2 linked regions of the Mus musculus genome follow. The protein of the gene in region 2 binds, or shares a complex with, the protein of the main gene of each other region. Links are inferred from orthologs where the notes say so. Each region holds a gene or a part of one and is shown on either strand. Other genes may lie near its edges.

What was found.
Region 1: Cyfip2 (region 2) and Brk1 share a complex: the UniProt entries of both Homo sapiens proteins name them as parts of the WAVE1 complex. The link is inferred for Mus musculus from reciprocal best matches to the Homo sapiens genes CYFIP2 and BRK1.

Annotation. Positions count from the first base shown.
Region 1 is NC_000072.6:113,603,066-113,607,653, reverse strand, and holds the start of Brk1 (protein BRICK1), read right to left. Parts: upstream 2,883-4,588; 5' UTR 2,876-2,882; coding exon 2,758-2,875; intron 1-2,757. UniProt on the Homo sapiens protein: Involved in regulation of actin and microtubule organization. Part of a WAVE complex that activates the Arp2/3 complex. As component of the WAVE1 complex, required for BDNF-NTRK2 endocytic trafficking and signaling from early endosomes.
Region 2 is NC_000077.6:46,309,504-46,313,952, forward strand, and holds the start of Cyfip2 (cytoplasmic FMR1-interacting protein 2), read right to left. Parts: upstream 2,856-4,449; 5' UTR 2,724-2,855; exon of another isoform or gene 2,432-2,723; intron 1-2,431. UniProt on the Homo sapiens protein: Involved in T-cell adhesion and p53/TP53-dependent induction of apoptosis. Does not bind RNA. As component of the WAVE1 complex, required for BDNF-NTRK2 endocytic trafficking and signaling from early endosomes.

The sequences.
Region 1 (4,588 bases), on a different chromosome or scaffold from region 2:
TCACATGATGGCTCACAACCATCTGTACAGCTACAGTGTACTCATATACATAAAATAAATAAATCTTTAAAAACATTTTTTACAAGAGTTTAAAAAAAAGAAAAAAAAGTGAAATATTTCAGTTCTCTGGCAAAGTAGGAGAAAACTATGTGAACCAACACTGAAATAGTTTACACAAAAGGTACACACTCAATAAGCACAATTGTTGGAGTGCTCAAAAGATTCTGAGCCAAAACCAAAACCCTCGGCAGGAAAACTTGACTATGAGTAGCAAGACAAATGATCAGTTCTGGAAAATGCTTTAATTCAGTAAAAAGCCATCTAAAGCCATCAGGTCTACCTGCGAACATACCTGCCTTTGTCATTGAATCACATTCCTTTAATACTCCTTAAATCTAATTCTTCTGGGGACACATGAACTCTTTACTGACTACAGTTCTCTACTATAACCTCCACAGAAACTTACGGGCGTGAAGCTGTACCACTGACATATACATTTATGCTGGCCTCTCATTAGTTGGTATCTTTAACCTCCGCTCCCTGTTAAGAAAATCCATGTAAGATTATACAGAATCCTACACACTTTGTGAGCATACTTCTTTTTCCCCACGTGTAAGAGGTTTATTGGGGGGGGGGGCAAGGAAGGTGGCGGCAGAGAGAGAAGGGTGGGGGAGAGAGAGAATTCGTGAGGGTGCGTAAGGACACTTCTAATCCAGCACTTGGGAAGCAGAGCCAAAGGGCCATCACAAACTAGAGGACATCCTGATCTGTAGAGCTGCAGGCCAGCACAGAGCGACAGACAGTAATAATCTCAGGAGGGGGAGGGAAAAAATAGTTGAGGAAGGAGAACCATGAGTTGTACCAATTTACAAGACTCAAAACCAAAATGCAAAATGGAGTAGGGGACATGGAGCATGGATGGACAGATTAAGATCTCTTATTTATTGTATTTGAAGGTGGGTGTGGGCATGCACTATGTGGGGCCAGAAGACAACTTGTGACAGCTGGTTCTCTCCTTTCACCTTGTGGACCCTGAGGATTGTATTCAGGTTGGTGGCCTTTACCTGCCAAGCCATCTCAACAGCCTGAAAGAACTCTACATACAGAAAATGGATTAGTATTATTATTTACACTGATAGTCTCCCTTTATGTGTGTGTGTCATATCCCCTGGGACTAGAGCTATGGACCACTGTGAACTGCAACGTGGGTCCTGGGATTTGTACCTGGGTTCTTTGGAACTGCTTTTAACAGCTGAGCAATCTCTCGAGCCCTAGAAAATGGCTCATTTCTGTGGCTGTTCTGAGGACCAGGCTGGCCTCAAATGCATAGCACTCTTCCAGCCCTTGTCTCTCCAGTGCTAAGAGTACAGGTATGAGCCACCACATATAACAGGGAAGGGTTACCATGTTCCTCACTGCCAGCAGACCTGTGTAAGAACCAATTACGCCTGCTGATGTTTGCTTTGCTCTACCAGGCTGGACTCAAAACTCTCTATGAAGCAGATGACTTGGGAGTTCCTCCTGGTCCTCCTGCCTCTGCATCCTGAGTGCTGCTATTAAAGGCATGGTGTGTGGGTGCTAGGCCAATACTCTACAGACTAGGCATCCCCTGCCCCTTAATGATGCATTTCCAATTTCCTTTTTGTTCTCTTTTCTCAAAAAACAAAAACAAAACAAAACAAAAAACCCCCAACCAACCAAAAAACAAAACAAAACACAAAAAAAGGAGGAAAAAAAAGGAGAGAGAGAAAGAAAACTCTAAGAAGTGGGGGATGCCGGGGTCTTGTGCTTACCACTCAGGAGCCCAATCCCTGAACTACACCCCGTAATTGAAGCTACTGTTCGGTTACCTTCTATCATACTACTTAGGACTCATCGGGTCTTTAGCTAGAAAATATACGATTCACTTTAATTTTTTTCAAAATACAGCACTTTCTCCCCAAGATGCTGAAAGTTGCTAATTAGTAGAACCAAAGCACTCTAGTGAAAAAGATCACTGGATGCCATCTGCACGTCTTGTATTGTGTAAGAAGGTCCCTGAAAGAACCCTTCCGGAGACCATAAGAAGTCTGTAACAGGTTTTCAGTCCAGAAGGCTAGGAACGCACGCAGAAAGAAATCAAGACTGTCACTAGCCGGCCACACCTAGGAATAGTTTTTTGGAAAAGTGGACTCTGCTGAAACCATCTGCCCTGTAAAATCCGAGGAGCCAGACAGAAGCATCCAGAGCACCTACCATGAAGCAGATACAGGGCTAGAAAAGCCATTCCCAAGGCCCGAGCGGGCCCCATCCCTTACAACCCTCAGCACTAGCACCAAATCGAGCCGGGGATGAATGAACCTGCCGGGAGTGGTTAAACGGGAGCAATAGAAGGCATGACATCAAAGGGGTTCGGACTTCTTCCTGAAGGAGATGGACAACGAGCAGGAGTCTCTCAACAGTAAGCGCGACCGTGACCGTGACACGGCTGCGCACTGCCTGCCAAGTGAAGACTGGCACGGAAGCGCGGCGCAAACCGGGGCGGATGATGGATGGGCCTAAGAGGCTGGACAGTGGGCGTGCTGACGAGCGCAAGTGGGGCATGGCAACGGGCAGGGTAGACCCTCGGAAACGGCCCAGTGAGGCTCGGGGTGAGGGCACTGGGGCCGGCGGGCAGCCAAAGAGGAAGCGAGTAGCCAGGGCGGCGCGCCTCTCCTCCCCGCCGCCGGCCGCCTCCCAGGCCTCCCTCCTCCCAGCCTCCCCTGCTCGCCCGCTGACCGAAAGAGTTGAGAAAGTCTGAGATTTTCTTGATGCTGCTGGTGATGATCTCAATGTACTCCCGGTTCGCCCAGTCCTGGTGAATCTCCCGCTGCACCGGATCCTCTTGTCCCGCCATGGCGGCCGCCTGAGGAAGAGTGACTGCGCAGGCGCCGCGACCTCTACAGGCCTCCAGCGCGCCTGCGCCGCCAGCCAGTACCCGAGTGTTCGAGCCCCAGAAAGGGCTGGCAGAGCGACGCGCGTGCGCACTCTAATCCCTGCGCTCTAGCTTGGCTCCCACGCTGGGGTAAACAAGATTCCTCCACTCGCGATGTGAAGACTAAGAGCTACCCTGTCCCCGGTTACAAGCACCCGCTGACCACTAGCGGATCTTGTCGTTAGGGGGCGCCCACACATTCCCACCTCCGCCTAAGGGTTGCTCCAAGCTCTCTTGCACCTTGTTAGCTGTGATGGGCACAGTCCACGAATCCCGTTTATTCAGAATGCTTGTCATGCTTGGGTCACAACTCTGTTCATTCTCGTTTTCTTTTAAAATTTGTTGTTGTTGTTGTTTTTCGAGACAGGGTCTCTCTGTGTAGTCTTGGCTGTCCTTGTACTCCCTCTGTAGACCAGGCTGGCCTCGAACTCACAGAGATCAGCCTGCCTTTCCCTCCGGAGTGCTGAGATTAAAAATGTGGCCACCACCGCCAGGTTAAAATTATTTTATTCGTATTATATGTGAGCGCTTACGTGGCACAACACGCGGGCGGAAGTTACAGGACAACTTGCAGGAGTGGGTTCCTCACCTTCCATCTTGTGGGACTGAACACTCAGATCATCAGCTTCAGTGTCTTTATTGTTCGAGGTGTCCCACCAACTCTGAATCTCCATATTTACCAAATGAGCAAAATACTTTTCTTTCTTTCTTTCTCTTCTCTCTCTTTCTCTCTCTTTCTCTCTCTTTCTCTCTCTTTCTCTCTCTTTCTCTCTCTTTCTCTCTCTTTCTCTCTCTTTCTCTCTCTTTCTCTCTCTTTCTCTCTTTCTCTCTCTTTCTCTCTCTTTCTCTCTCTCTTTCTCTCTCTTTCTCTCTCTTTCTCTCTTTCTCTCTCTTTCTCTCTCTTTCTCTCTCTTTCTCTCTCTTTCTCTCTCTTTCTCTCTCTTTCTCTCTCTTTCTCTCTCTTTCTCTCTCTTTCTCTCTCTTTCTCTCTCTTTCTCTCTCTTTCTCTCTCTTTCTCTCTCTTTCTCTCTCTTTCTCTCTCTTTCTCTCTCTTTCTCTCTCTCTCTCTCTCTTTCTCTCTCTCTTTCTCTCTCTCTTTCTTTCTCTCTTTCTTTCTTTCTTTCTTTCTTTCTTTCTTTCTTTCTTTCTTTCTTTCTTTCTTTCTTTCTTTCTTTCTTTCTTTCTTTCTTTCTTTTTCCAAATCAGGGTTTGTCTGTGTAGCCCTGGCTGTCCTAGAACTCACTTTGTAGACCAGGCTGGCCTCGAACTCAGATATCCGCCTGTCTCTGCCTCCCGAGTGCTGGCATGCGCCACCACGCCAAGCTGCCAAATACATTTTTAATGCTAATACCCAATGATGGACCGGCTGAAGCAAAATGGTAAGTCACAGTGTAAACTCATTCCATTTCTATCAAGAACTGCAAAAATAATCTCCAACCTTTTTACCTAATCGTTTCATTAAAAAAAAATCGTTAAAGGAACGTAGTCGTACATGCTTATAATTTCAGCACTCAAGAGACTAAGGCAGAAGAAGGCTTGTCCAAACAATGGTCTAGTCAGTCCATGTGTGGTGGTTTGAATAGGTCTGGCCTGAATAAAAGTTTGAATGCTAGGCCCATGGGGGAGAGGCTCTGT
Region 2 (4,449 bases):
CGTGTAAATACTGCATCGCAGCAATAGGGGTATAAATAGGAGACCGATTGTGTGCCACACACTCTATTCAGAGCTTTCGTGCATCTTTCATTTAATAAGAACATCCAAAGATGCACTGGCCCCTCCCCCACCACAGCTGGCCTCCGAGTCACAGGATTCACAGTCTGCAAGGCACAAACTGCTGCCTTCCCCATCCACCAACCACCTCCAGCTACAATCGCCAAGGCCATTCGCCGGACCCTAGATATAGCTTTGCTTCTCAAATTGACAAGACCAAAGGCCTTTCACAAAGGCTCCAATGAGGTGACTGACATCTGGTTTCGTCAACTATAAGTGAATAATTAATACTTGCCAGTAAAGAAATAGACTCATTGTTATGGTGGCCACATGGAGGCTACAGAAAGAGCATTTTGTGAAGCTCTTGGTGGAACCCTGGGGCTAACAGTGGTCCAAAGAAGCCTCTTTGAGCATGGAGGCCGGGGCTGAGATGTGAGGACAGGAGCCCTATACTGTTTTCCAGCAATACTGTTCCCAATGCTAATTAGCCTGTTGCCTATTCATCACCTAATTTAGCTTTCAGGTCAATGGCAGCCTCAGAGGCCCAGTGACCACTGAGGGGGCACGATAATCGAAGGGTGCACTTCTGTTACCGGGGCCCTTGGCTAGCTGTTAAATTACTTCTCCATGTGATCTGATCTGAGCAAGAGTCTCCAAACCTGTGCCCCACCCCACCCCCCACTTCTGGCCTAATGCCTAACTCACGCTTTTTCTTTCCATTTTCCACCACATTAGGGAACAAGGCAGTCTTGGGTTCCTATACAACCAGTCAGAACTGGCCAGGAACTACAATAAAGAAGATTAGTGAGCTAATGCCACCGGCCTGGGGCTCAGCAAGCAGAAGTACCCAGGGGCACTGGCTTTGTAAGCAGCAGCGTGCTGTCTGTGGCTTCGTAACTGTCAGGGCAGATGGCAGCTAGCTCCAGTAAGGAACTCTCCATGGGCACATTTCACACCCCACGGGCAAGGAGAGACTGGTGATCAACAAAAGCCTTCTGCTGACAGTAACCCCTGACCCCTCTCTCTCTCTGCCTCTCTCTCTCTGCCTCTCTCTGCCTCTCTCTCTCTCTCTCTCTCTCTCTCTCTCTCTCTCTCTCTCATACACACACACACACACACACACACACACACACTCCTACAGTACTCCTGCCCACCAGGCCAAAGCAGCCCTGACAGAAAACGAAGCTGGCAGCTGCCACATAGGCCATTCTGACCACAGTATCAGTGCCACATCTAGCTTACATCGGAAAGTCAACCATTAGAGATAGCAAATATTTTGACTTCAGCTCTGCTTCCTATTAAAATGTCTCCTATCCTCGGCTTCCTTTCTGATCCCATGACTTAAGAAGCGCCTGCTCTACATCCAATGGGAAAACCTTTTGTATTTAGCTCTTCAAGATAAATACCACTCACTGGCTCCTTTCTCAAGCAAGTTTGACAGGAGAGAAGGGACCCAAGGAGCATCGGGTGGAGGGGGGGAAAGCCACAGAAGGGGGGATGGTGGTAGGGACAACTACCTTCAAGGACTTACAATCCCGACTATAGATATTAATCTATATTTTTGTCCTCCGACAATGGCGGGAGGGGGGGGTGTCACTGAGTGCTAGGCAATGGTTCTTGCAGGGCCTGTGCCCAAGAATAAGGCTGGTCACTTCTAAGGGAAGGGGTCAAGAGGTAGAAATGGTTGCTTAGGAGCAACAGTCAGTCGTCAGTCTGATCCCTAAGTCTTCCTGCCCAACTGTGGGGCTGTGGGCACTAAAGAATTGGGCTAGCCAAGTTCTAAGTCTGGACTGGAAAACACCCAGATAGTCGCGGGAGAAAACCAACAGTCGGTTCAACCATGCTCCCTGCCCCCACCCTTAGCCACAAGCTACTCCTCTTCCTGTACACACAGGAGGGCTTACCTTCCTGAAGGTGATGTGGCAATCTCCCACAACAGACAGGTGGGCAGCTAAATACGAAGGAAACCTTGACCCCTAGGATTCCATCACCCCACCTTTCTCCTCCCCAAAGCCATCCAGGGGAGAGGCGCTAGTATAGGCCAGAACGCTTCGAAGCAGGTCAGCCATGCCTCCCGGCTCATCAGAGCTTTCCTCTCCCAAACCGTGCCGCTGTGGCCCCGGCCCCACCCGGCTTCGGTTCACCGCGGGCGCCCAGTACCCCCTTGCCTGTCAGGCGGGCCCAGGCAGCTCTCTCTGGCCTTGGCTGAATGATGGTGGCCGCGACCGCAGAGGCGGGGACTGCCCGGCGATCTGCAGTATGTAGGTGCAGGGATGTAGCCCCCTCTGGGCTTGTGGCCCCTGCAGGTATCCCTGGTCCCCGAGACTATCCCTGCCTCTTTTTAGGGCGGGTGGCTCCGGCCCAGGCCACGCACCTGCTGTGGCTGCCGCTGAGGCTGCTGCGCGGAGCTCTGCGCTGTACCCACGACTTCTGGAAAACGCTCCCTGCCCAGGGCGCCCGGGGCGGCCGAGGGGAGAAGGGACAACACAGGCCTGTAGCCCGGCCTCCAGGGACCTGAAGCCGTGTAGCCTCGGGCGCCAAGCCAAGCGCCCCCAACGGGCTGGGAGAAGTGGCGCCCGCCCCTCGCGCATCCTCAGGAACGCATCCACCGCCTAGGCAGCATTTCGGTTCCTGCATCAGCCCTGTTGTCTCCGAGAGTCCCTTACCTGGCTCGGTGGCAGGTCCAGGGGAGGGACCCGAGGCTACCGCAGGGCCCCGCGCCGGGGCGCAGGATGCTTAGCCCCGCTCCGCCGCTGCGCCGGCGGACCGCCGCGCCCCGCCCGCGGCCCCGCCTCTCCGCCTGCCGCGGCTCCTCCCCTGGCCGCGGTGCCCAGCCCCTTCGCCGCGGCTGCTGTCACACAAAGAGCCGGAAATGGCTGCGGCGAGGGGCTCCCTGCGCACCCCTGACCTGCAACCTCCTGAACCCATACCTTCCAGCCTTAGAGTATCCAGCCTCCGGACTCTGGAGGTGGAGGAGGGACGACTTTCCTGCTGCCGCCTGCATCACCAGCGACACCTGCCACTCCAGAAGGAAGGAAGCGTCAGCTCCTTTCGCATCTCCCCGGTGTCAAATTATTTTCATATAGTCATTTATTCACCACATCTTTATCGACTACCTGTTTTGTTCCAAGCATCTTGCCAAGAGCCAGGCACGCACTAGTGTGCAGTAGAGCCCCTGCTCGCTTGGAGCTTATTATTTGCCAGCATTAACTGACCTAACAGGAGTCCAATGACAGCTGCTTTCCCAAAGAAGGGAGCAGGCTAAGTGAGAGGTTGAGCCCTTCCACCACTTGAAGAATAACTTCCCAGAGGGCACGGGCTCAGAGGGCACGGGCTCAGAGGGCACAGGCTCAGCGGGAGAAAGCGCTTGCAGCCAAGCTTGATGATGACCTGAGTTCGATTCCCAGGATCCACAAGGTAGAAGGAGAGAGACAGCTTCTGTATATTGTGTTCTGACCTCCACCCACATGCATATATGCACATTACACAGACACACAGACACATACACACACCCATACACACACACAATAAATAAATGTAATAATTTAAAAACAAAGAGAAACATCTACTTCCTTTCCATTTCTTAGTGTAAAAATGTACAGCTATTATGTGTGTGTGTGCGTGTGTGTGTGTGTGTGTGTGTGTGTGTGTGTGTGTGTGTGCGCGCGCGCGTGCCCATGTCGATCCCATTGAGGTAGAATTGACTCGTGGACAAAATCATGATAAGCTGACTTTTAGGCAAACCTAGGAAGGAGCTGAGGAGACAGAAGCCTCTTAGATGCTGCTTAGGGCTCTTCAAAGAATCCATTGCTCCTTGAGACATAACTCGGAGGGCTTTAGGTAGGGATGAGGCCAGCTGCATTCAGTCCTGACCTGAACCCACCCCAGCATGGTACTGCTCTGAGTGGGAGATGCAGTACCTGCAATAAAGGGAATAATAGTTGCTCTGGGTACCATATATATATATATATATATATATATATATATATATATATATATATATATATATATATATGTGTGTGTGTGTGTGTGTATGTATATAAAGTATTTATTTTATTCTGTGTGTATGGGTATTTTGATTGCATGCACATATATGTGTACCGCATGCATGCCTGGTGCCAAGAATAATCTGGAACTGGAGATACAGATAATTGTGAGATGCCATGTAGGTACTGGGAATTGAACTCAGGTCCTCAAGAGGAGTAGCCACGGCTCCCAACTGCTGAGCCATCTCTCCAGCCTGCCCTCTTAGGGGAACTAATTGGAAAGTACTTGAGAGCCTGATTTATGTATAGAGCAACAAGGAATAAAATCTTGGGTCATGAGAACCTTCTCCAATGCTTGCCAGACGCCACAAACTTAGACTTGCACAGTTGTTCCCTGTAAATGGCT